7 linked regions of the Mus musculus genome follow. The protein of the gene in region 1 interacts with the protein of each later gene in a pairwise test. Links are inferred from orthologs where the notes say so. Each region holds a gene or a part of one and is shown on either strand. Other genes may lie near its edges. The genes, in order: Rabac1, Mief2, Rab1a, Zfyve21, Lnx1, Ndrg4 and Rab33a.

Evidence for each region.
Region 2: the proteins of Rabac1 (region 1) and Mief2 interact in binary tests that used the Homo sapiens proteins (3 or more experiments, as listed by UniProt). The two-hybrid records come from large-scale screens. The link is inferred for Mus musculus from reciprocal best matches to the Homo sapiens genes RABAC1 and MIEF2.
Region 3: the proteins of Rabac1 (region 1) and Rab1a interact in a two-hybrid assay, tested with the Homo sapiens proteins (2 studies listed by BioGRID and IntAct). The link is inferred for Mus musculus from reciprocal best matches to the Homo sapiens genes RABAC1 and RAB1A.
Region 4: the proteins of Rabac1 (region 1) and Zfyve21 interact in binary tests that used the Homo sapiens proteins (3 or more experiments, as listed by UniProt). The two-hybrid records come from large-scale screens. The link is inferred for Mus musculus from reciprocal best matches to the Homo sapiens genes RABAC1 and ZFYVE21.
Region 5: the proteins of Rabac1 (region 1) and Lnx1 interact in a two-hybrid assay, tested with the Homo sapiens proteins (2 studies listed by BioGRID and IntAct). The link is inferred for Mus musculus from reciprocal best matches to the Homo sapiens genes RABAC1 and LNX1.
Region 6: the proteins of Rabac1 (region 1) and Ndrg4 interact in binary tests that used the Homo sapiens proteins (3 or more experiments, as listed by UniProt). The two-hybrid records come from large-scale screens. The link is inferred for Mus musculus from reciprocal best matches to the Homo sapiens genes RABAC1 and NDRG4.
Region 7: the proteins of Rabac1 (region 1) and Rab33a interact in binary tests that used the Homo sapiens proteins (3 or more experiments, as listed by UniProt). The two-hybrid records come from large-scale screens. The link is inferred for Mus musculus from reciprocal best matches to the Homo sapiens genes RABAC1 and RAB33A.

What each region holds. Positions count from the first base shown.
Region 1 is NC_000073.6:24,969,680-24,974,262, reverse strand, and holds Rabac1 (prenylated Rab acceptor protein 1), read left to right. Parts: upstream 1-1,534; 5' UTR 1,535-1,680; coding exon 1,681-1,736; intron 1,737-1,948; coding exon 1,949-2,161; intron 2,162-2,404; coding exon 2,405-2,502; intron 2,503-4,074; coding exon 4,075-4,176; intron 4,177-4,187; exon of another isoform or gene 4,188-4,253; coding exon 4,254-4,342; 3' UTR 4,343-4,513; downstream 4,514-4,583. UniProt on the Homo sapiens protein: General Rab protein regulator required for vesicle formation from the Golgi complex. May control vesicle docking and fusion by mediating the action of Rab GTPases to the SNARE complexes.
Region 2 is NC_000077.6:60,726,936-60,731,450, forward strand, and holds the start of Mief2 (mitochondrial dynamics protein MID49), read left to right. Parts: upstream 1-1,462; 5' UTR 1,463-1,632; intron 1,633-1,727; exon of another isoform or gene 1,728-1,791; intron 1,792-3,347; 5' UTR 3,348-3,353; coding exon 3,354-3,500; intron 3,501-3,694; coding exon 3,695-3,857; intron 3,858-3,980; coding exon 3,981-4,515. Other genes in the region: Flii (protein flightless-1 homolog), read right to left, coding at 192-254. UniProt on the Homo sapiens protein: Mitochondrial outer membrane protein involved in the regulation of mitochondrial organization.
Region 3 is NC_000077.6:20,199,661-20,204,334, forward strand, and holds the start of Rab1a (ras-related protein Rab-1A), read left to right. Parts: upstream 1-1,751; 5' UTR 1,752-1,969; coding exon 1,970-1,992; intron 1,993-4,674. UniProt on the Homo sapiens protein: The small GTPases Rab are key regulators of intracellular membrane trafficking, from the formation of transport vesicles to their fusion with membranes.
Region 4 is NC_000078.6:111,824,002-111,826,754, forward strand, and holds part of Zfyve21 (zinc finger FYVE domain-containing protein 21), read left to right. Parts: intron 1-851; coding exon 852-927; intron 928-1,015; coding exon 1,016-1,107; intron 1,108-1,574; coding exon of another isoform or gene 1,575-1,631; intron 1,632-2,753. UniProt on the Homo sapiens protein: Plays a role in cell adhesion, and thereby in cell motility which requires repeated formation and disassembly of focal adhesions.
Region 5 is NC_000071.6:74,700,088-74,704,524, reverse strand, and holds the start of Lnx1 (E3 ubiquitin-protein ligase LNX), read left to right. Parts: upstream 1-1,621; 5' UTR 1,622-1,733; intron 1,734-1,852; exon of another isoform or gene 1,853-2,053; intron 2,054-4,437.
Region 6 is NC_000074.6:95,712,225-95,715,711, forward strand, and holds the end of Ndrg4 (protein NDRG4 isoform C precursor), read left to right. Parts: intron 1-100; coding exon 101-139; intron 140-953; coding exon 954-1,108; 3' UTR 1,109-2,732; downstream 2,733-3,487. UniProt on the Homo sapiens protein: Contributes to the maintenance of intracerebral BDNF levels within the normal range, which is necessary for the preservation of spatial learning and the resistance to neuronal cell death caused by ischemic stress.
Region 7 is NC_000086.7:48,517,601-48,522,294, forward strand, and holds the start of Rab33a (ras-related protein Rab-33A), read left to right. Parts: upstream 1-1,684; 5' UTR 1,685-2,000; coding exon 2,001-2,258; exon of another isoform or gene 2,259-2,275; intron 2,276-4,694.

The sequences.
Region 1 (4,583 bases):
TTCAGGGTTGGAGCACTTGGGGCTCTTTGTACTGTGACCTCTGGTGATCTCAGGACAAGACGATCCTGGGAGGGAGGAGTTGCATGGGCCAAGACCTCTCCTGGGACACCCACATACTCTGCTTCAATCACCTAGCACCAGGAAGGAGCATCCGCTTTGACAGAGGGACTCAGCACAGGACAGAAGTGGGGGAGGCCCCTTGAAGTCATGCAGCCGGCATTATGATCAAGGTCTCGAGTTCCTGTTAATATCTTCTGGCTTTTTCCCAGTGCCACTTGCTCTGGGAAGCACAGGAAAGAGCTCAGAGCCAAGTCCCATCTCCCACAGCCTTCTCGGATGTCTCCTACTACCTACTGACTCAAAACCCATCTAACGTGAGCCTCCTCCCTCAGGAACCTGAAAGTACCCCCTGCCTCATCACATCTCTACCTCAGGGTCCTCGCTTCCACTGTCCCAAAGGACTCCTTTCCCAGCTTCCAGACACCTATCCTAAAAATCCCAGTATTCAAATTTCTTACATTCTTTGAATTAGTTTGCCACTTTCTGCAACAGTGTTGCCTCTGGATCCCACTGCCTTCTCCACTGCCTTCTCCCGAAGCCCCGACTCCCACCAGGGCAGCAGAGACTTGAGGGTCATGAAATAGAAAGAATTTGCTTAGTCCTCTTAAAGAAACTGAATTGGTTCCCATAGCAGTCAAACCCAGCTGACTTTTGCCGCCAAACTGGTTTCCAAGGTTCTCTGTCTTTTCCAGTACTCTGGCCTTGTGGTGTCCCTCTTTAGTCTTTAGGCTAACTGTACATTTGCAGTCCTCCACTGATCTGAAGCAATGCTGGACCCCAAGTGGGAAACCCAGACACAATTTCCTGCTGAGTGGCCCATACTGAAATCCCAACCCGGAGGAGTTCCGTTCCCAGCACCCATGATTTCTAGACAGCTCATAATTGCCTGTAACTCCAGTTCCAGGAGCTCTAAAACCCTCTTCTGGTGGCACACACGCATAAACATATAAAAGTAAATCTTTTCTTTTAAAATGCAAACATTTATTTTTAAATCATGTGTATCTGAGTGTGGGTATGTGCACATGAGTATGTCTGATTGGCTAGAGCTGGAGTTTCGGGCAGTTGTGAAGCACTGGGTGTGGATGCTGGGAACCAAGCTATGATCCTTTGAAAGAGAAACAAGTAAGCCATCTCTCCTGTCTCACTTTCAAAGTAAATACTTTTAGGAAAGAAAAAGTAAATGAACTCTTTCCCAGACTTGCCCAGTTAGAATCAGAATATCTGAGTTTTCGAACAATGTTTTATTAAGCTCTCTCGAGCCAGAACGACAGCTCTGCACGGTCCACGGAAGTACGTTTCTGCCATTCGAACTCCCACAAAATCCTCTGTCCTGACAGTCCACCTGCTGTAGTCCACGCTGAGCCTCCTGAAACTACAATTCCCACAATGCCTAGAGGCTCCCGACGAGCTCTTAGCATACATCTCCCAAGATGTCTTGCGAGGCAAACCTGCCTCTTGACGCCACGATGACTACAACACCCACAATGCTTGGAGGAACAACTACCGCCCTCTAGAGCTCCCAACGACGCCACTTCCAAAGAGTCCCGGCTGGGGTGGGGCCGCCTAGGTGCTGCTGGGCTCCGGGCTATTTACAGCGGTTCTATCCACTGCAGTGCAGACATGGCGGCCCAGAAGGACCAGCAGAAGGATGCCGAAGGGGAAGGGCTGAGCGCCACGTGAGCAAGCAGGGTGTTACCCCCAGATCCGAGATGCAGGAGTCCCTCATCTCCTCAGAGGTCCTGGGAGGGACTCAGTCCTGTTGGCTCCCTCTCAGGACCCTTCCTCCTAGGGGTTCAAGGTCATGCTTGGGACCAGGTGTGCTAGAATCTGGGGTCCAGATTCTACCCTCTCCCTCCCTTCAGCTGCTCTGCTCTGCCCTGCCCATTAGGACCCTGCTGCCCAAGCTGATTCCATCCGGCGCAGGCCGAGAGTGGCTGGAGCGGCGCCGGGCGACCATCCGGCCCTGGGGCACCTTCGTGGACCAGCAACGTTTCTCGCGACCCCGCAATGTGGGAGAGCTTTGCCAGCGCCTGGTACGCAACGTGGAGTATTATCAAAGCAACTACGTGTTCGTGTTTCTCGGCCTCATCCTGTACTGCGTGTGAGTGCCTCTGCGGCCCCGCCCTCGATAGTCAGACCCCGCCCCCGGCTGCCAGGCCCCGCCCAGACCAGTTAGCCCACTTTGTCACTACAGGACCCGGTCAGTCTGTACTCCTGCATTCACCTGACCAGGATGTGGCCTTCGCTGGCCTAGAAGGACGTAACCTCAGTCTGTGTCCAAAGCTAGAGGGGCCTGGCTGACGCAGCCTCGGATACCTAACTCCTGTCTCCCACACTCTTCCAGGGTGACATCTCCCATGCTGCTGGTGGCTCTGGCTGTCTTCTTTGGCGCCTGTTACATTCTCTATCTGCGCACGTTGCAGTCTAAGCTTGTACTCTTTGGTAAGAAATCTCCTGCCCAAATGGCTCCTCGGGCCTTTCTGATCGTGGTCTCACGGAATGCAAACTTCCGAATAGTTGGGACCCAAGACGGCCCCCACCGAGCTGTCCACTAGAGTCACTTAACTTGGTCTTTAAGGGCTTAGACCCACCAGGTGCTCCCCTCCAGTCTCAGCTTCCCAAACCCAGAGAGACCCCAAAGCCCTGGCACCTCTGTCTCTTGTAAATGACTTAATCCAATTCCACTCAACCCCCCCCCCCCCCCCCCACGGAACGCATCAGCTGCAGATACCCACACTGCACACCAGGTGGCGACCTCATGCAGGCCTAGATCCGTGTTCCTTCCCAAGTCTTGGCCCTGATGATTCTCAGAGGGGAAGGCTGAGATCTGTAAGTCCGGTGGCCCCAGACTGTCACCAGGACCACTGGAAAGAAAGGTGTCAGGGAAGACCCAATGAGGGGAATCCAAAAGTTTCCGAGGAGACTTAAAATAAGTCTTTCATAGCCCAGCAAGCTTAAGGACCAAACAAAGATAGGCTGTGGCAAAGAAATAGACTGAAGCAGGTCAGAACTTGGCTTCTGCAGGTAGTGGTCACTAGGACATACACACTTTTCAGGCATAGGAGAGCGTGGGGCGGGGGTGGAGGAAATTAATATATATGTACTAGGGTTTAAAGAGTGTGTTGCTATGCCCTAGCCTTAAAAAATGTGTAATGCGGGCCCTCTGGAAGAATACGTGCTTTTAACTCCTGAGTCACCTTCTCCAGCCCCCACAAACCAAATTCTCGCAAGGTGCATCAAAGAACACATCCTTAAAACCAGAAGCTGGCCTGTGCCTCTAATCCCAGCACTTGGGAAGCTAAAACAGGAGGATTGCTACAAGTTCAGGATAAGCCTAGCCGGGCGGTGGTGGCGCATGCCTTTGATCCCAGCACTCGGGAGGCAGAGGCAGGCGGATTTCTGAGTTTGAGGCCAGCCTGGTCTACAAAGTGAGTTCCAGGACAGCCAGGGCTACACAGAGAAACCCTGTCAAAAAAAAAAAAAAATCAAAATAAGTGCCTAGAGAGATGGTTCAGCAGTTGAGTACTCAGTTGAGTACTGTTCTTGGTTTGGTTCCAAGCACCCAAGTCAGGTGGGTGCCCATGGCCACCTCCTCATGGGCACCTGATCTTGGGCACGTATGCGTGCAGGGCATATACACACAATTCAAAGAAATAAATCTTAACAAAGGAAAAAAGGGGACAAAAATCCTTAGGTCAGATTTGACTGTGGAGCCACCAGCCTGAGACTCCCGGTGACCAGGGTGGAACATCAGGCCCTAGTCTGAAGTGACCTGAGGGCTCCTGGGAGAGGTGAAGCTAGACAGCAGAGGTGGGGCAGAGGAAGGTTGTTATGGGGACAGGGGGCTTTGGGGAGGCAGGGTAGGGGCCAGGTATGGGAGACACTGATGTGAGGAGTCTGTATTATTACATGGAAGGTTCCAGAGTCTGTGACACTAGATGGGTGGAAAGTGACCCTGGACACTTGTGGGAAAGGGTCGGGTGGGAACGGCTACCTTACACCATCTGTTCCCAGGCCGGGAGGTGAGCCCAGCACATCAGTATGCCCTGGCTGGTGGCGTCTCTTTCCCCTTCTTCTGGCTGGCCGGTGCTGGCTCTGCTGTCTTCTGGGTCCTGGGTGAGTACAGGGTCTGTGTAGGGTGAGGCTGGGAGCCAGGCGAAAGAGCACAGCCTGAACCACCCATCCCCCTACAGGAGCCACGCTGGTACTCATAGGCTCCCACGCTGCCTTCCACCAGATGGAGCCTGCAGATGGCGAGGAGCTGCAGATGGAACCTGTGTAAAGTGTCCTCCAGGACCTGCCGGCCTCTCCTGCCGGCCGGCTGTCCCATCTCTGTCTGTTCTCGTCCTACCTGGCCTTGCTGCTCAGCTCCGAGCCTTCCACCTGAGGCCTCAAACCCAGGGAGGGGCTTTTGTCTTTGGAAATAAAGCTGTTACAATTGCTATTTGGCCAATACTTTCCTGGTATTTTCTCTTTTATAGGTAAGGAGAGGGGTTACTAAAACACGAGGTCTGAGGCTGGAG
Region 2 (4,515 bases), on another chromosome or scaffold:
CGGCCTGAGGGCTCAAATCCCGCGCGGCCCCAGACCCCCGGAGCCCCCGCCCAGGTCTTCCGCCCCGGGCGGGGCAGGCCCGGGAAGACTCGCGGAGGCCCGCCCGCCCCGCCCGCCGGTCCCGGAAGCGCAGAGGAAGCGGCCCGGGGAGACGGCCTAGGGGTCGCCTTTCCCCTTCTCCCCCAGCTAACCTTGAAGTCGTTGCCGCTGAGGTCCACGCCGCGCACGAACGGCAGCACCCCGGTGGCCTCCATGGTGGCGCAGCTCTCTTACGGGCAGGGAGGACGCGGGGCGGCCGAGAGCCGCGGGCTGGGTCAGCGCCGGCCCCGCCCCTTTAACCCGCGCGCGCCGCCTCCCGGCCGCGGCCTCTGCGGGAAGTGCTGCTAGGCGACTCCCAGAGCTGCGAGGCCTCCCTGGGACCAGAGTTCTGGGGAGGCCTGTAGGGGTCCCGCTGGAGATGATCAACACTTCCAGTCTCCTGTCGGAACGTGGAGGGTGGGGTCCAGGCACTGTCGCTTGGGCTGCTGTAGCCTCTGGGGCTGGCCGTGACCCAGGAGTGATGGTGGTAACAACGTCAGGGACACAGGCAGTTTGTGTGTGAGGGATCAGTGGTGGTGGTGGTGGTGGTAGTGGTGAGACTTCCGGGGCTTTGGGACCTAATCCTTCAGCTTCAGGACTCAACTTTGATCATGTGTAACACGGTCCCCAAAGTTGCCAGAGTACTCACATGTGGCAGCTTAGAGAGCAGGCTGCACAAACACTCACAATTCTCCCTTGGCATCAGGACTCCAGTCACCATTCTTTATTGATTTGTTTTGTGCTCTAGATCAGTGTATATCTCCTGGGCCAAGCTCTTAGTGGCCATCTTGCCCTGGCCAGCATACAGTAGGTTTCCCATAAACAGACACAGCTGTTCTATGGAAGTCCAGGGTCTGGCATCCCGGGTTTCAGGAGGGAAGAGACTGATAGAGTTCCCACGACAGATGGCAGAGCTCTTTTCCCATTATGTGTCAGGCAGGCCAAACGGAAATGGAACCACCAGGCACTCTAACAGGGGCGAACTTGAGAGGCAGAATGTGGGCCTTTGGGCTAACTGCAGTTTTGTCTGCCTGGCCCACCAAGGGACCATGAGCTCAGACTCCACACTGAGGCTCTCATTACAAGTACACACAAGGTCAGATGTGAGACTAAGTACGACTGCTGAGAATTCGATGTCAGTTGTGGCTTTAGTGTGAGGCCCTTTCTCAAGAAACAAAACACCCGAAAGTAAGTAAACTAGACAAGCCCCTGAATGATTGTCACACTCACCACCTCCCCCGCCCCCCTTGCGCTATCAATATAACCTTGCGCCTTTAAATCCGGAGTATGCTTGTGGTTTCCGCCCCAGACGGTCCCGGGGCGTGCCTGGCGATCATTGGCTGAGCTGCTCCGTTTTGAGCACGTGTGCGCAGGAGTTGTGCGCTCGGATTGGAGCGAAGGCCTGCTTATCCAGCGTGCCTTTCGGGTCACTTGCCGCCTCGGGCCTCGGCGTTCGGTTCCCGGGGTTTGAACGTTCCATTCCTAGGCGAGTCCTGGGCCTCCAGGGTCCTACTCGCCCTGTCCTTGGGTCCATGCGCTGACGCTCGGACGCAGGTACGGCTACAGCGCACCGGGTGGCCCGGTGTCTCCCAGCACTGGGCGTGGCGCGCATCCCGGGGCAGGTGGGGGCGTGGCCTGCGGTCACTGCGGTGGGAGGGAGGACTTGGGAACTGAAGAGCAGAGTTCGAATCCCAGCGGTGCCTCTTCCCGACTTGGGTATTGCACACGATTTCCAGGGCCACAGTGACTTCGCTCTTGAATAGAGTCTAAGAGCCTATTTGGTTACACGTTTCTGCTCAGTCATGATCAGAAGCAATCAGCTTTGGCCAGAATGTAAGAACAGGTGAAGTTCAGGCTGTCAAGAGTCGGGTTATTTTGTTATTTTTGTTTTGTTTTGAATAGAGGCTCTATTATGTAACTCTGGCTATCCTCCAACTCAGTGTGTAGACCAGGCTTGCCTTGACTGCCTCTGCCTCTTCAGTGCTGAAATTAAAGGCCTGCACCACCACATAGGGCCTAAGTGGGTTATATTTAGTCACCTATTTTATTCCTTTCTTACTGGAGTTTGAATACAAGACCCCTCTAGGTGTAGGGCTGAGTCCCACTTTAGACAGGTGATGGAATGCAAGCCCCTTCCATTTGCAGAGTGGCTTACTGCTCTGAGGGCAGTGGTGGGCAGTAACAGAGCAGAGCTGTTTCTGAGCTTGGAGTAGGCTCCCTGGCTGCCCTTTGACCTTACCAGGCTCGAGGACAGGGTCTTATTTTTAGTCTGGGGAGCATGGACAGGTGTCTCAGCTGAGTCACACAGTGCCTAAGGCTTCAGCTACTCTAGGCATCTTGTCACTTGGCAACTGAGTCCCAAGGCAACCATGGCCCTGAAAGAAGGGCTGAAGTCCTTGGTGCCCCGGCAGGCAATGACCTTTCTGGCTTAGTGGCCTGGGCCTGTGGATTTCTGTGACTTTTTCCCAAGTTCCTGACTGGGCCAGTCACACACTTCCCAGTCCTTACTGGTGCGGTCGTACAAATAAACAGAAGCCCTTGGCTCCGGGCCTTTCTCTCACCTTCTTACCCTCTCCAACTTTGTTCCGAGTCCATGGGCCCTGGCCAGCTTGTCCTGATTCAGTGTTTATTTAAGCCTACTTCACTCACCACTGCACCCTGGGGCCTTCAGCCTGGCTCTGATGGGGTTGCCCTAGCCCAGGTAGTTTTCTTGTCAAGGTCTGGGGGGGCCACTATCTAGATTCCTGAATTTGCTAAGGGTCTATCAAAGGTCTGACAGGCCCCACCCAGGCAAACTTTCTGGAAACCCATATTACAAGTATTTCTGGGCCTTTGGGTTCCTCCTGACTGGTTTTCACACAGTATGGCTGTTCTGGGTAGGTTCTGATTAGGAGTGAGGGAACTCGACCAGGAGGCATGGGGAAAATACTCAGGCTTTGGGAGTGGAAGAGTCTGGGGGCTGTGCTGTGAATCCCAGACCTTAGCACTCAGTTTGTGGCTTGGCAACTTTTGTCTTTGTAGACTCAGGGTGGTGATGTTGAACCCAGATTCCCAAGGTCTTGGGGTGGAGTCAGGAGAAAGGCCTGGATCCTTCCTATATGAACCCTTTTCCAGGGCTTGGAGGCTTGCAGGATTCAGGGAGGGGGCTGGCAGGTCCCCTGATTCCCTCCAAGAAACTCTTTGAGCAGCCCCTTTCTCACGGGTCCCCAGAAACCACCCTCTTGGTCATTGCTAAGCATCTATGCCTTACGAACTACATCTCTTTGCAGGTGACCATGGCAGAGTTCTCCCAGAAGCAGAGGAAACAGAGCGGCAGCGAGGGCCTGGGCAGTGTGGTGGACTTCCTCTTGGCTAATGCTCGATTGGTGCTAGGTGTGGGCGGGGCTGCAGTGCTGGGCATTGCTACCCTGGCTGTAAAGCGGGTAAGGCCAAGGGGGCAAGGCCTGCCTGAAACCTCCACAGGAGAAGGCCAGACTGGGGAGCTGGGGGACGGTGGGACTTTTGAGGTTGGACTGGAACACGGGGCCCCTACTTTTTCACCCTAGCTTCCTGGTTTGCTTTCCCCCCAGCTTTGCCATGGCCCCCGATGCTCTGATCTGTGTCACTTTGCCTATAGCTCATCGACAGGGCCACCAGCCCTCCAGATGAGGATGACACCAAGGGGGACAGCTGGAAGGAACTGAGCCTGCTGAGAGCCACATCGCCCCAAAAGCCCCAACCCCCTCCTGCTGCCTTCAGCCAGCCCCTAGCTACTGGGTCCCCCTCCCCCTCTGTGCCAGGTGAGCTACACTGCTTCTCTCTAGTGTGGTGAGCCCCTTGCACATGCCCAGCTAGTGAGCAGGTCGAGTTTTCTTAACTTGTGGGGCCTTCTAATATGTTCTCCTGGATGCTTCCCTCCGCAGTGGAGCCCACGCCCATTCATTCTCCCACGACACCTAAGTTCAGCACTATAGCACCCCTGTGCCTGACGTTCCAGGAGAGGCTGCTGGCCTTCGAGCGCAAGCATGTGATTACCCCAGAAGCCCACGTGACGTTGGCGAAACAGCTGGCTGGAGACATTGCCTTGGAGCTGCAGGCCTACTTGAGGAGCAAGTTCCCAGAACTGCCCTTTGGTGCACTCGTGCCGGGTGGGCCTCTCTACGACGGGCTCCAGGCAGGGACTGCTGAGCACGTGCGCCTGCTGGCGCCTCTGGAGTTGGAGCCGGGGCTATGGAGCCTGGTACCTGGCGTGGACACTGTGGCCAGGGAGCCTCGATGCTGGGCTGTACGCAGGACTCAGCTTGAGTTTCATCCCCGTGGGTGCAGCCCATGGGACCGCTTCCTGGTGGGGGGCTACCTCTCCTCCCGAGTCTTGCTGGAGCTGCTACGGAAGGCCCTGTCAGCCTCTGTCAACTGGCCAGCCATTGGCAGCCTGCTCGGGTGTCTGATCTGGCCCGA
Region 3 (4,674 bases), on another chromosome or scaffold:
CCAGGCTGGTTTCAAACTCACAGAGAAGCACCCATCTCTGCCTCCTGAGGGCTGGGGTCAAAGGCATGCTATGTCTGGCTTACATGATAAATCCTAAGACAAAACAAAACAACAATAACAACAAAATTTTTGCTTGAAAAATTGAGTTTAGGACACTTCAGAGTTTTTATTCTGTGAAATGATAAGAGGAAGTATGGTGGGCTTTAGGGTCCAGGGCTGTAAACCTCCATCTAGGGTCATTTCAGAAGTTAGTATGGAAAAGAACCCAGGAGGCAGAGGCCAGGGAAACACTGAGTTCGAGGCCAGCCTGGTCTACAGAGGGAGTTCCAGGACAGCTAGGGCTACACAGAGAAACTCTGCCTCAGAAAACCAAAAACCAAAACCCAGACAATAACAAGAAAACTCCCAAAACTATGTATGTGTGGTCTGATGAGGCTGTCAGGACACACGGAGGAACGCCAGAGGGATGTGTAAATATGTTCTGAGTATATGGTTAGTCATGAGAACAGCCTCTTTTGCATATTTTGATGTCACAGAAATTCAGAAATTAAAAGTAAATCTACAGTTGGCCCCAGGAGATAATATTCTTGCTTAGAACAAGTTGGAAGATAAACTTTGGTCAGTGTATTATACTATGCCCTTTGTAATAAATAACGCAAGATAATGCGTTAAAGTTTAGCGGAGATTTAAATTCCTGAGCTGATTAAAGTTGACACCATTAGGTCTAAAAAAATGTATTAATATTAGTTCTGGAGTCCGTACTGAAGAGTTTCATGGCTTAAAAAAAAATACTTATTACTGCCCAGTTGTGCAGACGGACACAGAATTAGTACTAATAAAAAACAAAGAGCAGCAAAAGCAACTGCAACCCCCCCCCCTCAAAAAAAACAAAAACAAAACTTAACAACCCAACCCAACCCAACCCTATCCCGGAAAACAATTCAACTTTTAAGTCTAGGCCTCAAGTAGGAGGAGAAGACTGGTTAAGGCTGACTTTAGCCTGTGTCTCAACAGCACAATGTTAAAGGTTGGAGGTCGAGATGGAGGAGCAGTTTCAGACAGGGAAATCTGGCTGTGTGAGCAGAAGAGAGACTAGAACAGGGTCCATTTGCAGCTATTGCAACATCAAGTTGCTAGAGTAAAACGGTAAAAAAAAAAAAAAAAAAATTAGAGAAGGAGTCGGGTGAGTGAGAAAGCGCAAGGTCTACAGAGGCCGCTTGAGTTTCCTGCTGTCCTTAGAGCAGCCTCAGACCCTGATGGTGATGGCCCCTGTGGTCTTGCCTGAGCAGAGCTCGTCAAGCTGTCTCCACCCCTCCTCACTGTCCCAGGCTTCCTGGGAGCCCCCTCCCCCTCTGCTGCGGCACCGCCCTCCGCCGAGTTCCTTCCTCCTCCCCTCCCGATGGGGCACCGACTCGCCCTGCTGCCACGTCTCACTGATGACATCAACACAGCCCGGTCGGCCTTAGCCAATCCGCTAGGGGGAGTCCGAGCGAAGTCCTAGCCAGCAGGCCAGCGGGGAGGGGAGCAGGAAGGGCGGGGTGTGGGGGTGAGGGAATCGGGACGGGGCGGGCTACAAGCTCGAAAGTGCGCATGCGTTCAGGGCGCGGGGCCTAGTGGGAAGCTGAGTGCAGACAGCCCTCGGCCCGGTCGGGCTGCCCAGCGCGCGGTGTGCTCATGACTCTCTTTCCCAGCGTGCCCCGCGACGCTGCCGCCCTCTGGGCCGCGCCAGGCCCCTTGGCCTAGGCTTCCCCAGTTCCTGGTTCGCCGGCGGCCATTTTGGGTGGAAGCGATCACTGAGTGGCGGCGGCTGCTGATTGTGTTCTAAGGGTCGGAGTGGGGTCGACGTTTGCTCTACCGGAACAGCTTAGCTCATTCCTCCCTTTCCATTACCTGTGGCGCGGAGAGTTGGGGCGGCGGCTGCGTCAGCAAGGGCGGTGGTGGCGGCGGCGGCGGCGGCAGCTGCAGTGACATGTCCAGCATGAATCCCGAATAGTGAGTGCAGGAGAGCCGGGGCGGGCCGGGGTGAGAGCGGCCGGCCGGGGGTGAGGGCCGCCGGGAGGTTCGCTGCGCAGCGCCGGGAAGGTCGGCCGGGCGAAGGAGACGGAGCAGCCTGAGGGCCCCATTGTCTGAAGGCCGAGGGCCGCAGCGCAGCGGGGAGGGGTCGGGCCTGCGGGCCGGGTCCCGACCGCAGCCGGCGGGGAGCTAGGTGCCGCGGCTGGGCGTTGGGGAGAGGGCCTCGGACAGTAGCCAGGAGGGGCGCGTCTCTGGAGGCAGTGACGGCTGGAGGAGGACTTGGTTTTAAGGGGAGGTAGGTGGGAGAGCTCTGCTAGAGGGCACTGTCAGACCCTGCGCCGGCTCTGCGGAGCTGTCAGCGTCGGCTTTACTTGTAAATCCCGAGCTTGTTAGAGCTCTCTCCCTGTTGGGTTTTAGGTAATATGGATGCTTCTTGGGACTGCGTGGGCTTGAGGGGGATGAGGAGATGGTGAGGAGCTATTTATAATGTTTAGTTTTCTTTTGGGCTTGTCTCCTGGGAGAGTTCTGTGAGACTTGTGAGACGTGACCCTTACAAAATCCTGGACATTTGTGAAATTTTTGGTTTAGGGGAGACATGAGTCTCCCAGTCACCTTTTGTCTCCAGTAGGTTAAGAAGAAGAAAAAGAAGAACAAAACTGAACTAAAAATAAACTAGAAATGTCTTCCTGGTACCACCAAGTTAAAGTACAAGTTTGCAGACAGTTTTGAAAAGAAACTAATGGGGCCTTTGATGATAGAGTTGTATGTAGGTTTTAGATTACCTGCTTGAATGCCTGTAGATAGGAAATGAGGTTCCATGACGTGTCATGAAAAGTTAATGCATTCCTTTTTCTTGCTTACTCAAGAAGTCACTGTAGCAGATGTGACACACCTGGCACCTTTCATGGGAACTGCGCTTCTCCTTTCTTGGATAGACATTGTTAGGCTCTCTCTTTGAACCCAAAATTCTCCTATGGTTTCCATATATGAAAATAACTTTAAGAGATGCCATTTTTATTATACTTTAGTGTCAGAAATCTTTAAGGGAGAGGGATTTTTGTTGGTTTTTAATAAGAGAAATCACTATTGCCGTAAAAGCTGGGCTTTATTTGTTGCTTTGGTCAGTTACCGCTAAGTGTGCCCCCATGAAAGGTCCAACCATCAGCTCGGCTGACTTGTCATGTGCGTGTCACATGACTCTTGCAAAAGACATTCTAAGTTCAGGTTTTCTAAGACTGGTTTAATACTGAAATGGTTTTTCCGTTTGTGTTAAGCAGAGGTCTTAGTATCTTGGTAGAATTTTACATACTTTTTTTTATTGTGTGTGTGATGCCTGTGATTGCAGGTGCACAGGTGTCACCTTGCTTGCTTCAGAGGTCAGGGGACAACTTTTGGGAGCTTATTCTTCCTTTGTGGCTTCAGGGATTGAACTCAGATAGGCACTGTATCCACAGAGCTATGTGCTTGGCCAGGCTTCTGTACTTGAAAAAGTTGGGAACAGTTCACATGGAGACACAGGTGCTGTGTTTGCAGCCCCTCTCCCAGGGCAAAATTAGTTTAGTTAAGCAAAGTTGAATTGGGGGTCCTAATTAGATTTTTGTGGAAACCAAAAAGAAGATGAATTTGTTATATTAGGAAGGTTTCTAATTTCTATTTGAAATTCCTGTTCTATTTGAGGAGATTCCTATATTTGTTAGGTGTGTATTTAAGTATTTTTATTATGCTTCTCAAATTTCCTAATGCTACGACCTTTCAATGCAATTCTTCATGTTGTGGCGACCCCTATCCATAACATTTTCATTGCTACTTCATAACTGTAATTTCGATACTGTATGAATTGTAATGTAAACAGCTGATATAGGATATCTGGTATGTGACCCCTGTGAAAGGGTCCTTTGACACCCAAAGGGGTTGCCACTTACAGATTGAGGACTGCTGAGGTTAGAGACACCTCCTGGAGCTGGAGTTAAGAGTACTTGTGACCAGCTGATGTGGATGCTAGGAATGGAACTAGAGTTTTCTGCAAGAACAATACATATTCTTAACTACTACTTGATCTCTCCAGCCCATGTTATGTGTTTATTTTTTAATACTGTAAGAGATTTAACTAAGCAACAAAAATTTGATGTTACTCAGACGTTGTTTCTCTTTTTATAAAGTAGTATAAAAAGTCATTTTTTACTGCCTACTAAAGTAGTAAGTAGTGTGGTTCATGAGTACATAAAAGATGTTTTGGACAGCTCTCCATCCAGATCATGCTGTAAGTAGAGTAAATCATTTTAATGTAAGCTTGGACTTCGGAGTGTGAGCCTTAGCCTCAAGGGGCCTGTGATGTAACATACAGACTAGATTCTATCCATGTCAAATATTAGGAGATACTGCATGCAGATGTGCAACATGGATCAGATCAGTGTGGTTTTAGGGGAGTCACTTGTTCTGGTTGGCTGTTGGGTTTTGGAAGATTGTTATAGAAGAGACAAGTAAGAAACTTACCCCAGGGTACCAGTAAGGTAGTTCAGCAGACGAAGGCATCTGCCACCTTTATGAGTTCCATCTTTGGAAGGAGAGAACTGGTTCCTGCAGGTTGTTCTCTGGTCTCTCCACATATATCCCTCCCCCAATAATCTAAACAAGCAGGGTGAAAAAGAGAATTATTAGCAT
Region 4 (2,753 bases), on another chromosome or scaffold:
CTATCTTTGGAACCTGCTTAGAAGCAGTCTAGAGCTGACTTCAGAGATGGAAATGTCTGACTTATTGGTGGGTACTGCCATCAAATGGACAGGGAGCCTCAGCTAGCAGCACCTTCCCCAGATGGAAAGCTGTCACTACAAGTCAAATTTGTGTGAGCATGGCCCTAAGGGGAGAGGCCTGGAGACAAGCTGTAGCAGGTGCAGAAGCTGGTTCTCAGGGAACCAAGGAACATAGGGAGAGTTGTCTTGGGGTGAAACCTGCCTCCCAAGTAGCAGAGCCCTGCTGCTGTAGGCCTGTCTGCACTCCACAGGCGAGGGCCAGCCTCTTCTCTATCACTTTGGTCTTGTTCACTCTGCTCTAGGGTAGGGTTACTATTTTTTGGTCACCTGCTCACCTCCTTTAAAGGTTGTAACAAATTTCAAAGCTTTGTATGTGCAGCAATGCCTTTATGTGGATGGGTACCTTCCCTACATTACATCTGTGCACCATGTGCCTGCCTCATGTCTACCGAGGTCAGAAAAGGATGTCCATTCCCCCGGAACTGGAGTTATAGGCAGAACTGAGCACCGTGTGTGTGCTGGATATTGATTCTAGGTCCTTTGAGAGAGCATCAGTGCTCTTAACCACTGAGCCTCTCCAGTCTCCAAGCAGTGCCTTTTTAAGCTTTTGAGATCCTTAATTCATTATTGCCTTTTTGCCTAACCAAAGGGACTCTAAACACAAAGCTGTCATTTGTATCAGCTTGTCCCTTCCCATGTGGTAGTGGAGGAGAGCTTTGCTGGCCTGAGAGCACGGTCTGGTGGCAGTTGGAGGAAGCAGTGTCATGTGCGGTTTGGTTTTGTCTTCCAAGGAGCTACCTTCCTTGTTACTTTTGGGGACTCAGAGAAGCCCGAGACCATGGTTTGTCGTCTTTCCAACAACCAGAGGTAAGAGTAGACGTCCCGCCGGCACTGGCCCGCCAGCGCTGTCATAAGCGTTAGGCCTCAGTCTTAGGGTTTCCTTTCTTCGTTACAGGTGCTTGGTTCTGGATGGGGACAGTCATCGTGAAATCGAGATTGCACATGTCTGTACTGTTCAGATTCTCACAGAAGGCTTCACTCCTGGAGGTACATGCCTTAAGTACCTATGTGGGCACAGGAGGTGCTGCACTTGGTCCCAACATGGCCCGCCATGCTCTTTATTGGGGCTGTGTTAAGTCTGTAACTTTAGAACCCACCAGGTAAGTGGAGAGGAGATGATGAGGGGAGATTAGCCTGCTGTCCATGTCTGCCTGTGACTTAGGTCATCTTAGTCACTGTTAGACAGTGCTCCTGATGCAGTCTGAGGTTCCAGACAAGGTCTGTGGTGGTGGTGGCTGATCTGGAGCCTGCTTGCGGGCCTGCTGTCACTGCCTCCCCTGCAGGCATTGTGTAGCCCAGGTCCTCGGTCACTCCTTGGTGAGCTCAGTGGACTCCATCGGCTGAACTGCACAGGGCACTTTCTGAACTTGCAGATCTGACCTAATGCATCTTACTTTCCATTTTCTGACTGACTCTTGGTTGTTTCTTCTTTGCACTGCCTGCCTACCTTCAAGTAGAAAAAGACATTCACACTTATACCAGCCTCCTGGGGAGCCTGCTTGCCTCTGAAGGTCAGCTTCCATCCTCCCTGGGTCCCTCCTCCCAGCATGCTGTGATGTCTGTCTCTCCTCTGGCCCCTTTGCTTCTATCTCTTGGGGTGGATTCTCAAACTTGGGGTCACTTCTTTTTGATTAAGAGAGATTCTAGGTTCAGCCTAAGAGCCTATAAAGCCCAAGTCAAAGTGTCCTGAGAGAACAAAGAAGCTTGCTCAGTTCTTTCCCAGGGAGAAGTTATGCAGGAGTTGACAGCTTCTATCAGTATCGGCCAAGTGTGTGGGTTCTCCTTTGCCGATTGAGCACCAGGCATATGCAGTGGGCGGCAACTTTCATCACTGTACCCAGTAGCTTACCTCACTCAGACCCTGGCCTCCAGGGTCCCTGCCTCTCACTCAGCTCCTCCAGCTTAGTCTCAGAGGCCCAGCAATGGAACGCCACAGGGAGGTACGTGAGGTGCACGGAGCATTAAGCCGGTTGAAGATCTCCTATGCTAGATGCTCACTCCTTGGCCTCCACTAGGACACCCTCGCCCCCACCCTCCCCCAGGGGTGTCAAGAGTATCTGCGTGTGTACCATGCACAGGAATATCTGCACGTGTGTGTGTGTACAGTGCACATGCCTAGTGCCTTTAGAGAGGAGAACAGTGGTTTAAGTCCCCTAGACCTGGAGCTACAGATGGTTGTAAGCCATCATTTCTAAGTTGGGAACTGAACCTAGGTCCTATGTAAAAGCAGTAAGTGCTCTTAACTACGGAATCATTTCTCTGGCCTCCATTGGCGGCGGAGAGGAGGGGGTTGTTAAAATTTTTATGGCTACACAAAGCTCAAAACAGCCACAGCCAGCAGTGGCCATGACCATGTTTGAGTACATTTTTATTTACAAAAACCGGTATAGCCCAGATAGGAAGCTGTACAAGTCTGGTTGAGGCAGCTCAGCCCAAGGCCTTCAGGTGGGTTTTGAAGCATCTGAGTTATTACAGAGTCAGAAAGCCTCTCTGGGTAAGACCACCCCCTCCCCCACCCCTACTCTCACCCACAGCCAGAGGTTTTGCAGGCAAGGAAGTCAGGCCTCTTCCTGGCTGTGGTCTGTCTGCATGCCCAGTCCACTAGCCAGTGGGACTCAGACTGCTTTGATTTT
Region 5 (4,437 bases), on another chromosome or scaffold:
TGGGCTAATAGTACTTCCTCCCACCCCCACCTCCTGCCTCGAAAAACCTGCACTTGAAAGGTTCAACTACCTTTATTATCTTCCCACTCCTCAACCCCCAAGCCCCAACCCCCTCCCCCTCCCTCCTTTTCGAACCTTTTGCTTTTATCGGTACAGGGTAGCCACGCCTCCCTTAGTTTCTATTGGATAAAGTAGCGAAGAGAGGTGTGTGTATGTGTTTGTTTTAAAGAGTCCCAAGCTGCTTGGTCCCAGATGGATGCGCTGTTTAGGCCTGTCTGGGGTGAACCAGTGATTTGAAGTTGCCTCCTGCGCTAACTTCATCTTCCTTCTGCTACCCTCTCCTTTTACTTTACAAGGTACCGAGTGACAGGGAGCCAGCTACCAATGTGGGCACTCAGGGAGAAGGTGCTTTTTTACTATTTCTAACTCTAGCTGTCCCCTAGTCCCGCCCACAAACCACGGCTAGGCCGTGAGGTGTTAGAACAGGCGACTTCTACAGTTTCAAGATCAGGAGGGGGGAAAGATTTTCAGCAGACGTTTTCTTCGTTAGGGGACCAAAGTGTGCCTGGACCAACCCAGGAGAGAGAACTCCCCAGGGTCCCCAGGTAGCACATTCCGAACAGTGACTACATCTGCGAGGGAGGCTGGCTGCGAGCCACAGACACACAGCAATTCAACAGGCTGATGGGACAAGATGCCACAGGCCTTAACCAGCAGGCAGGAATCCTCTTAGCTGTCACTCAAGTGCCAGCTGAGTCGTGCCATTAGCCTGCTGGAAAAGCTGAAGCAAGGGTGACTTGTCCAGGGTCACACACCAAGCTTGGGACCAAAATAGCCCTGAGTCCTCTTCCCTATCTCTCCCTGCAGACAACATGGCCTTAGTAAGGCGCTATCATTCTAACCTGAATCATTTAAAGTACTCCTAATTGCAGGCCTACTGTGGACTGTAACCACCACGTGACAGACAGGCCGAGGTAGGAATGCCTGAAGTTTTACCAATGCCTGAATCTATTATTAATATGCTGGGGACCGCGAAGGTGTTTGGGAAATGATGCTGAAAGGTATCAAAATTAGATTTTTTTAAGTAGACTTAGGTCATCTCTGGTTTGTTATAATATTGGGACAGAAAAACACTAGGAACTCAAAGGGATGTGATTCAGAAAGGCGTTAGTGGGGACAAGTCCCAGATATGGCTAAGTCTTCACAACCTTTTCCTTCCCCCCCCCCCCCTACAAAAATCCCTGTCTCCTTCCAGTGTTTAAACTTCCCTTTTAATTCTGATGTTGGCAGCTGTGTGGGCTCCTGTGAGCCTGGAGGGGAAACAATATCAGGCATACAAGATGGGCCTGGGAAACAATCAGGCATTCGCATTCAGATCTGTACACGGGGCTAGACACGTGCTATGCTCAGAAAGGAAAGTAAATTCCACTTGGCAAATTGCTCTAACTGATTCATTTGTCCTCTGAGAGACGCCACCTACCTGCTCCAAGGTAGTCAGGTAATTGACGGGGGCGGAGCCTCTGGGGATGTTTTAGTCCCTAAGGTCTCAGCCAGACTTCCGTGATGTCACAGATTTCCTGCTCTGAACCAACCAATACCCTTCTTCTTCCTCCAGCCACCTGTACACCGAAGTTGAGACCGGTCACAGCTCAGGCGGCCCTAGACGCTTCTGGCACAGGGATGGAGGCTGGCTGGTCACTGCTGCTTTGAAAGTCCCAAACATCTTTGAACAGGTGAGAAGAAACTACTTTTTCCTCTCTTTAGACCTCTGGCCCAAAAGGGATCTGAACAAGGAATCTGAATTTAAAAAAAGAAAAGAAAAGAAAGAAAAAGTAAAAGAAAGACCACTTACTGGCTCAGTCCAGAGTAACACTCTGAGAGTAGAGATGTCTGCGCCAGTCTTACTCCATGGCCAGCAACGTTATCTCGGCCAGATATTTAATCATTTTTGTTTCCTGATTATTAATCCGGCCTCTACTTGTTGGTGACGTTGATCTGATTCTTTTTAAAACCCCTGAGAGAAGTGAGGTGAGATGCTTTTTGAAAGTTAGTTCAAATGTGCAGACCAGTTCAGCCTGTTTTGTGTGTGTGTGTAGGGGGTGGTGTGGGGTGCTGGGGACATTCACAAAATTCAGATTGTCCTTTTTTTTTTTCTTGCTTGCATTCATGTCATCTGAAGCAATTTTGATCCAAAGCTGTAATACTTCCCTAGGTCTTGTTGTTTACAATAGAAAGTCAATACTAAAGGTAATAAATTCTGGCTCCCTATTTATAAGCTTTCTTCTCTCTCCCTCTCTCTCCTTCTCTCTCTCTCTCTCATAAAAATCCTTTAGTTTCCTTTATTTGTGGAAAATATTTAGCAGTCTGGATTAGAACTGTTTACCTTCAGGCCAGATAGGTTGCCTGCTGACCTTTGGCTAAAGTAAAGATTACCCTTCAAGGCCACAAGAATGTAACGCCAGGCCTGGCTTTTGAATTGTTGAAACTCTCTTGTTGTTTCTATCTTTTCTATATTAATAAATATATGGAAGAGGCTGCTCTGCTAGGACCCGACTCTAAAAGTAATTGTAAATCCTCAAGGACCCATATTTATTTTTCTAATCCTGACCACATAACCTGCTCTCAACGAGCCTGAGAGACCCACTCCACTAGCTAATATTATTAACAAGGGCAAAGAAACAAGTCCCCAATCTGTCTTCTTATCAACTTAGCTGGGAAGCTCCAGGAGAGAAATAAATGAATCCTGAGACATTCCATTTTATAGACTTTGATTAGTCCCTTTCCTGGGTCTTAAATTAGCAGCGGGGTTTATAAGGAAATCATCCACTAGGAAATAAGCCCAGAGACAGCCCTCTAAAAAGTAAAAGAACATGCCAAACATCCAACTGTACGAACGCACTGCCCTCGAACGGCTGCTTCTTGCTGGTAAGTGTCTGCTTTGTGCTTGTTACTGGTTTCTCTCTGACTCTTGGGAAGCTCGTAGTCTCTTTTCTAGCTGACCTTTGTGCCCAGTATTGTCCTCTAAGCTAGTGTGTTTGCAGAGTGACTGCCGTTGATGCCTTAATAACATTCTCAGTTGATTCAGAGGTTTGTGAGCAAGGTGAGAGAAGGACTCCCCATAGCCTGGATTTTGTACGCCATACATTTGTCTTTGATGTTCCAAACCTCTGCAAACTTTCACCCCTTCTCCTATACCTGGTTAATTAGTTATTTTTAAAACAATGGACCTATTATTAAATAACAAATTGTTTGATCATTGTCTCTAACTGCATAGGAAAATAATATTATGTTTTTATTGCCCCCAATTCAAGAAAAAGGAAAAAAAAAAAAAAACCATGACAGGGCAGAAATCAGAGTCCAGTCAGTGTCTAGTACAGGGGTGGGGTAGCTTGTTGGATAACTTGCAGGTGTTCTCCCTGAGAAGTTGCCATGACAACTCCACTAGTTCAGGTGTATACCAGTGCGATTAGGAGATTTTACATCCTTTAGCAAATTACTGAACTTCTCTGGACCTCCATTTCCTTCTCGGTAGGATAAGAGATATAAGTACTATGTAATGTGGTTCTCTGAGTAGAGGCAGTGCCTGGTACTGAGCCAGGGACAAATGAAAGCCAAGTCCCTCTCTACTGGAGGAATTTTTCTGGGAGCTTGGACGTGTGTGAGCCCATGTAGCTCTCCTGTGGCTGCACTGGTTCAGAACCCGGCTCTTATTACTGTAATTAATTGTCAGTAATTAACACCACTGTTAACAGTTTGGAGAACACACAACAGTCCGGAGGAAGGAGAATGAACAAGCTGTCATTCCCTGAGCCAGGCAGCGTGGTCTGCCAGCCCCCTTGGCGAAGCAGAGTCTGGAGTGGTCGCTCTTCCTTCTTGTCCCCAGCTCAAGGCTCTTTTGATGCATTCACAAAGTGTGAGTTCCTAACGGGCGTTCAGGAGAAAGTCTTGTTGTTGTCGTTGTTGAGTGCTCTGACTTTCAGGGAGCCCAGTTCGTTTTCATCATGCTACCACCCTGAGTAGCCTTGGGTACTTTGTCCCCTCTAATCTCATAGTCAAACATCTTCTACCTCAGACTCCATGAGCATTTGGCCAGGTCAGTATGAGAGGTGACAGATAATTGCAACCTGTACCACTCTGTGGAGGGAAGGCTCATAGAACCTTTGGATAAAATCCACACCTATGAATAGAATATGTTGTACCCATCAATGACCTTGAATCATTGCATCAGAGCAGTTGTGGTCCCAGACCCGCTGCGGGCTTCTTCTGGTCCCACCCTCTTCCCAAAGTGTAACACACATTTCTGCCATTCAAGAGCAAGGGCCCAGTGAACTGAGGACTGGATTCTAACCTTAAAAACACTACATCTTGCTGAAGGGGACTCAAAGGAAGGACCTCGGGCTCCTTGCCCATCACTTGCCTTGACACCTCCCACCCCAC
Region 6 (3,487 bases), on another chromosome or scaffold:
GTCCCATCTCGGCCCATCTCGGTGCCCTGGGCCTGGTCCACTCTTCACCGTGTTCTGTGTCTCCCCCACCCTTGCCCTCTCTGGCTGTCTTCTCTCTCAGTTGCACACTTGAAGGACCGAAGGCTGAGTGGAGGAGCAGGTAGTCCATGGCCTATGGCCTATAGCCCATGGCCTGTCTGCTGATGCATGGACACCCCGCCCCTCCCTGCCCCGCCCTAACCCGCCCCGCTCCTCTGCAGTGCTGCAGCTGCACTATGTCTTGCTGTGGTGTGGAACCTTCTTGTGTTATGCTCAGCTCAAAGCCCCGGAGGATCCCTGCTCTTCCACAGACCCTGGTCTGCTGAGGGCTCCGTCCCGTGTGGGACCTGACACACTGGCTGGTCTCAGAGCAGCCGTCTTGTTTCTAGGTTGCCGTGGGCTGTGGGGCTTCCAGAGCTTTGGGAGTTAGAAGCAGAGCCTGCAAACACAACAGTGCTAGGTTTGCCTTGCAGACATTGTCTGCCCCCTGCCCAGCCTCTAGGTGGACTGGCCTTACCTACAGTAGTAGAAGCAAGATTCAGGCAGTCTGTGGCTGATTGCCTTCACAGAAGCAATCCTGCCCCCCCTCCACCCACGCTACCCCACCCCTGTCACTTTTTGGATGCAGGTCTAGTTGGCCACAGAGCGTCTCTCTATCCCAGGTCAGGGTGCCTATAAGCACCTGCCCTGCTCTGACCATACATAGCTCTGGGTAGCTGCTGGGACCTAGGCACCTGCTGGCTGTAGCCCATTAGCCTGGCCTGCTCACCGTTGCTGACTGGTCCTGCATGCCTTGGCCTGGTATAGCCAGTGCCAGAATCCTCTGCGTGTGGCAAGACTGGGTGTCACTGGCCGCTTTGCTTGTGTTGTTTTTTTTTTCCCACCGGCCGGTACCCACCTTGCCTGTCCTCAGGACCCTCTGTTCTTGTCCATAGTGCCCTCAGCCAGCATGACCCGCCTCGCACGCTCACGTACCGCGTCCCTCACCAGCGCCAGTTCCGTGGACGGCAGCCGCCCTCAGCCCTGCGCCCACTCAGACAGCAGTGAGGGGATGGGCCAGGTCAACCACACCATGGAGGTGTCCTGCTGAAGCCCTCGTCCTGCCCATGATGCCCGCTTACCTGCCCCCAGGTCCCACTGCCATCTCTGCACCGGCTCATCTTCCCTTTAGTTTTATTTTTGTGAGAGTGAAGGGGAGGAAATGGGGTTACTTCTCTTTTATTTAAAAAGAAATGAGGGGATCCACCTTGGGACAGCACAGCACAACAGTCTTAGATGGTGTGAGGGGCTCGCCTTACACACTCCTGTCTCACTCAGTGTGGCCCCTCCCCTCTGCCCAGCTGGGGCGTGGCCAGGATAGTTAGATACAGTACTGAAGAAAGCCCAGCCCAGCCCCTGGATCTGGCAGATGTGAGGTTTGAAGATGGTGGGTAGTGAGCTAAAGCTCTGATGTGAGTGGGAGTCAGACCAGTGGGCAGCCTTGGACCTTAAGAGTGTCCCTTTCCTGTAACCCTTGCATCAAGCACACCTATTCTAATAGTAGAAGTGACAGTCATGAGGATGGTAGCCACAAGAGGGCGCTCTAGACAGACAGCCATTTTCCTGGTGCTCTCTGGGCAGGACAGGTGGTGTAAGGCCAGCCAGGCTGAAGAATATGGAGAACCCTGACATGGGGGCAGGAACCCCCATACCCTGCCACCACAGGGCCTTGTCCCACCCTGAGGCAAAGGTCACCTGGTCTCTTGTCCCTGTTGGCAGAGGTTAAAATGTTGATTGCTGTGTATGCTGTGTGTAGCCCCTGAGAACTTCATGATTACCCATCCCTTTGGAAGCTGGCAGGTACTGTAGGTCCCTCTTGTCCCAGATTTCACCAAGTATTTGTCACAGTGCCCTGGTCAACTTGGGCCAGTGTGTCACAGACAATACTTGAGAAGTGAGCTTGTTAGAAAGACACAGATGGGAAGATACAATGACCTCTGCTTGCTGGAGGGGCTGGAGATTGCCTGGCCCTTGGGTGGGAAATGGGCCATCCTCAAACAAAGGTTCCATGCCTCCTACAGCCCACAACTATGCCCGCCATCTCACCAAGTAGGCGCTCACAGCCTGGCCATTGGTTTCATCTGCTCTCATCCCCAGAGAGGAGAGAAAGCACTAAGTGTGTATATGGGGAGTGGGGATGATGTATGTGGTATTGTATGGGTGTTCTGAGGCAAGAGGACACCCACATCCATTTATCTGTGGCACATGCCGCCCCTTTCTGTAACTGTAAGCCATTTCTAGACTGCTCTGGAGTCCAGTGGAGTGTTTCCTATCCCCGGTTCAGTTCACTCACGTGCTTCCGTGAATACTGAATGTGACTGTTTAGAGGTGGTAGAACTAATCCCTTACTGTAGATAGCACTCCAAGTATTGGACATCTTTTTGCTGTGTTCTTAAGATATCTATAAATACCTATACATTATATATATATATATATGTATGTATATCAGGTCCTCCTTCCTGTATGTGGTTTCCCATTGGTAGTTGTCTTCTCTTTGGTCAAGATGAACTTTTAATGGAGTTCATTATTTTCCTCTCTGTACAAAGTTAAGAGCCTAATTTTGTGTATTCTGTTTGGTGGCTGATAAAGAGACTTTGAGATTACAAAATGCAAAACAAAAATCCTTGATATAGAAAGTTAACTGTGCAGAAAAACTAATAAAGAAATTAAGTCTACGTGTGTCGTGTTTCCTATCACAGGGAAGGCTCAACTGTTTAGGCTGCCTGGCTGCCCCAGGGCGCTGATAGTTGGAGGATAGTGCCTGTTAGACACATTTGGTTGGGGGAGGGTTGAGCAATCTTTCTGTAGCCCAGGCTGGTCTTGAATACTCAGCAATCCTACTTCAGCGTCATGGGTGTTAGAATTATGTAGGCCACCCTGCTTAATTTTTTTTTTCCTCTTAGGGTGATAAGAGATTGAACCAGGGTGTTTATACATGATGGTCAAGGTTCTACCAAGCGGCTATATACTCTGACTGAGATATAATTTTACCAGTCCTGATACTAACTCTATTTCACAGCTGAGCAGAAAGTTTAGCCAGCAAGAAAGACCGCTTCAAAGCAAGGGCACAACACTATTTGCTTGGTTTTAGTTGTTTTGGGACATGGTGTCACTCTGTTGTCTGGCTTGCCAGAAACTCCCAGTAAACCACAAACCCCCCTCAACCTTCCAGGTACTGAAACTAAACTACTGAATTCTCCATGTTACCGTTTGTGCTATCATTCATTCACCTTATATTACTTCCAGCGTCTCTCTCTGTCTCTCTCTGTCTTCTCTCTCTGTCTCTCTCTTCTCTCTCTTTTCTCTTCTCTCTCCTCTCTGTCTCTGTCTCTCGTCTGTCTGTCTGTCTCGTGCGTATGTGTGTGTGTAATGTGGAAACCCTTAAGGCCACTTCAAACCCAGGTGTAAACGGACTAATCAATCAGTCAGT
Region 7 (4,694 bases), on another chromosome or scaffold:
AGTCAGAAGCTGAGAGAAGCCAGTTTGAATCAGTCAGCTTAGAGAGGAGTTTGGGCCAAAACAGCTGACTTGAACCAGTCAGACAGAATTCAGAAAGAGCTAGAAAGGATGGCCTTATTCAAAAGTAAGCCTTAGAGGTTGAAACCATTCTGGGCCTAGAGTAGATTATACAGAGTCTAGAAGCTTCCAATCCTAGGCCTAGGTTAGCAGATGGAAGCTGTAAGTCTCTGAGATGACAATTATACCAGGTGAACAAAAGTTACTTTTACATTTTTCCTTAGTGGGAATGGATTTCATTACACTGAGGCTTCCTGTAGATCAGCCTCACATGCAAAATGGCAGCTCATGTGTGCTGCTGGCTCCCCTGACTTTGATGACATTAGCAATATCTCATATGTTGATGCTAATGGTATATGTCTGTGATACCTTAGCCTATGAAATATAAGGGAGATGAGCAAATTCCTAAAACAAACATAAAATGGGTACTCATTGTTGTATGCAAATCGTACCTAAGTTGACTTCATACAGATGTTAAACCTGAAAGTCACTTTTGGGAGATGGAATATGGGTCTTGACCAAGTTGTGTGATGGTTAGTAAGCCTTGGGAAGCTACCCTCTGAAATCGTAAAAAAGTTGTATTCATTTATCATCTTCCAAGCATAATCTAGGCTTCTGACAAATTAGACCCAACCACTATATTCTACATTCACTTGCAGGGGGTGGGTGGACCCTCCTTGGGATTCCAATTCCCCTTCAAACTCTGCCAATCTGAAACACCGTATGGCTTTGTGAAGGGCTCAGTGTATCAGGAATCATGGGGTTTATGCCGTGTCCTAAGTGCCCTCACCTGGGCCTGTAATGGTTAGCCACAGAAACAAAGTCCCCCTTTGCTGGAACTGTCCCCACTAGTTCCCCCTCCTCCTAGCCTCTGTATGGCCCTCTCCCGCGGCGGGCCTTCCTCATTGGCCAGCCAAACACAACCGACTGTGGCAGCCAATGGGAACCACCCTCCTGAACATTCAGAGGGTGGGTGCTCGTGGTGTGATGAGGGGAGGTTGGCGCCTGGTACGAGCCCCCCTACATCTGGCAAGTCTTTGACAGAAACAGTAACACCCCCTACACACTCACGCCCGTGCCCCGTGTCTGCCTCCTTTCAGCTGCGTGGGGGCCCTCCACAAGCCACTGCGTTCACTGGTGTCCTGGCAGTGTCCTCCCCAATTCCTTGGGCACCAAAGAGTGCACCTGCTTACTCAGTAAGACTGAATACCTCCTTTTCCTAAGACTTGGTGGGGGGAGGCAGGGAACCACAGTGGCGCAGCTGTCAGTGGCTGTGGAGGTGTGAACAAGGTATCTCAGATCCCGACCCCTTAATGCTGCACCGGACTCGAAACTCTCCTGCGATGCCTTAGGGTACAGCGCTCTTTGTCTTCCCCAGCTGTGCTCACTGCCCACCGAGCCTATGCGCTCAAAGTAGGGGTGGGAAGCCTGAAACCCACCACAGAACTGGGGACAAGAAGAGAAGGCTCGCCTGAGGCGCTGTGTTCCACACTCCTCATCCCTTCCCTGTTGTGCTTAGGCTTTCTCCCTCCAGTGTGTCCCTGGGGTCCAGAAGGGGAGGGTCTAAGCAAAGGCGCGGCACAGCCTGAGCCTGCAGTCCCAGAGCTCACACACCGGCAGAAGGAGACCTCTCAAGGCTGGCCCAGTCTCCATTTCTTCTCTCTCAAGCTTTTGTGTCTGTGCCTTTGAGCTGAAAGGAGGGTGCACTAGGAAAGGAGGAGGGGTGCCTGGGGTGAGAGCACCCTCTTCACGCGCGCGCGCACACACACGTTGCCGGCGCACGCACACACGGGCGGACACACACTTCCAGACGCGCGTGCGAGCACACACACATACACACACACACACGCACAAAGCTCTCTCGCTTTGAGCGCACTAACGTGGCCGCTTTCTTTGTGTGGAGCCCTCGAGTGGGGTTGGGACCCGGGTCCTGTCCCGGGGAGATGGCACAGCCCATCCTGGGCCATGGGAGCCTGCAGCCCGCCTCAGCTGCTGGCTTGGCATCCTTGGAGCTCGACTCATCGATGGACCAGTACGTGCAGATTCGCATTTTCAAAATCATCGTGATTGGGGATTCCAACGTGGGCAAGACCTGCCTGACCTTCCGCTTCTGCGGGGGTACTTTCCCAGACAAGACTGAGGCCACTATCGGTGTGGACTTCAGGGAGAAGACCGTGGAAATCGAGGGCGAGAAGATCAAGGTGATCCTGCTGGTCAGGTCCGGGCAGGGAGGAACCTGGGAGGGGGTTTCCGCCTGAGGTATATTGCTAGTGATAATAAATGACTAGCTTTGGCTGTGTCGCCACCTGCCGAGCTCAAGACCCTGGGCACATCCACAACCCTTTTAGCTTCTTTCAGGGGCCCATCCCCACCTAACCCAAATTTTCTGGCAAGCCAGGGTGGTTGCATTCTTACCCTTTGCCCCTACCTGACAGCTTTGGCCGGGAAAAGCAGGTTTGAAATTGTTCTCAATCCTAAACGGGAGAGACACCCCTGAACACAGAAAGGCCTGAGACATCTCTGGTCCTAGTTTTGTGGGATGGATCTCAAAGCACTTTACACATTTTGAGGTCCTTTCTACCTCTTGGGTGCCAATAGGCTGCAAAAAAGAAAAAAAAAAGTCATCCTGGCTAAGCCCTGTGACATTAGAGAGGTTGGGAATAAATGGAGCAAGAACACGGCTTTATTTTAGAATGCAGTTTATACTTGTGAGTAGAGCTGACTTGAGATGGAGGTGGCATGGAGCATGGTTATGTCACAAAGCCCTTTTAAAGGCTGAGACACAGTCACCTGCTGGCTCTTCATAATCTCCCAAAACTTGTTCTTTGGGGGCAGTCCCTCCCAGATGCTTGCTGCTTTAGATCGGTTTGGATGAAGCTGGTGAATGAAGAGCCCATTACTCATTCTACTGGCATTGTCTTCAGAAGGCTTGTTGGGAAACACACAACAACTTCTCTGAGGGTCAGGGGGAAGTGCCTTGACATAGTTTACTAAATAGGCCAAGTACAAATATTTTTGTATGTTCATTTAGTGTAGCGAAAGTAGAAACTCGGTAAGACAGGGTATGTCAGTGTGTTGGGAGGGGGTAGCAGGAAGCGGGGTATGGCAAGGACAGCTTTGTGTGTCATAGAAAGCTTGTAAGAAGACACCGGGGTTACTAAACACCAAGTCCTCTAGACTCATAGCTGGCCTTTGCTTGAGCAGGACCCCCGGGGAAGTCAGAGATGAAGGTAAACTTGTTGGTCAAACAGCTGAAGGAGACACATGCCCTGTCCTGTGTTCTGAGTGACACAGAGTGAAGGACTGGTGAACTGGAGAGAATGACAAAACACCCCAAATTGTGCAAGATTTCTTGGTGATCAAAATGATTGCATTTTAAAATGACTTCAGCAAACAAGCCAAAGCACTGTGCTTTAGGAAGATGGGTGGAGAGAGAAGGAGAGATTCTGGGTCTGGGAGATAATAGATTCTTTTGAACTTCTGATCTATTTTAGCTCTTTCCAATCTGAGGCGACAGGGATGGCCTTTTAAAGCCAATGCGGGGATCTGTCTTTTTTCTTTTTCAAGGACTCTTCATGTTGAATGTTTGCACAGGTCAGGGCTTCTTCCTTGACGGTGCCTAGTTTCTTTAATATATGGCTATAAGACATTGGAAAGTCTAAGACGTGATTTTTTTATAATCAAAGTAGAAATAAATCAATGGATGCATTTTAAAACACCTTCAGAATCATGTTTAATGTTATCATTTACTTAAAATCAGCTATTACAGTGAGCTGAAGTGTTTCCTGGGCTTAAAAGTTGGAGCAGCATATTAAATCCCTCTGAAGTTTGAGTGGTGGGGAAACAGAAGTGCATGGGAGTCTAGGAGGGAAGGGAGATGAAGGGGGAGAAAGGGAAGAGGAGAAATGAGGGGTAGGAGGTGAACAGTGGATGGAGTTATCAACCAATGGCCTTGGGGAGGGCTTTAAACCATTACCCCACCCCACACCCCACACCCTACCCCCGGCCCTGGCCACAACCACCACCCCTGGACTTAACCTAACTAACTGGCTTTCAAGTCCCTGCCAAATATCCTAGACTTTTTTTCCCCAGAGGGCAGAGCCTGTGACAGTGTGACTCACTGGAAACAGATCAGCACAACACCCCGTGCAGATAAGTGCTTAATATGGGTTTTGAGGGGAAGATGATATTTCTAAAAGGACAAAGCCTTGTAACACAGTTCAAGGAGGAACCTCTGAGGACAAATTGGGCAAGAAACCTCAGTGGAGTGTGGGACCTGGGACATGCTGACCTCACTCCCCTGTAAGCTGTTGAATCGCTAAGGCCAAAGCTGGCAGGTGAGAGACCAGAGTGTCTGTGGCAAGATGGCAGAACATGGCAGCTGGCAAGAAATCAAGAAGGACGTAGATTGTGCTTCATGCTTTTTCTGCAAGAAAAAAAAGTACCAAAACATGGTTAGGGGTAGGGGTAGGGGTAGGGGTACGGTTAGCCCCATAGTTCAGCCAGCTATAGTAAGCTATCAGATTATAAGTAGAAGCCCTGGCAGGTGAGTGGTAGAGACTTCTCATTATCTCTTCTTAGTTCTAGAGTAGTGTATTACCTCTTTTAGGCTTTCTCCTTTGTGTCCTCCAAGTGGC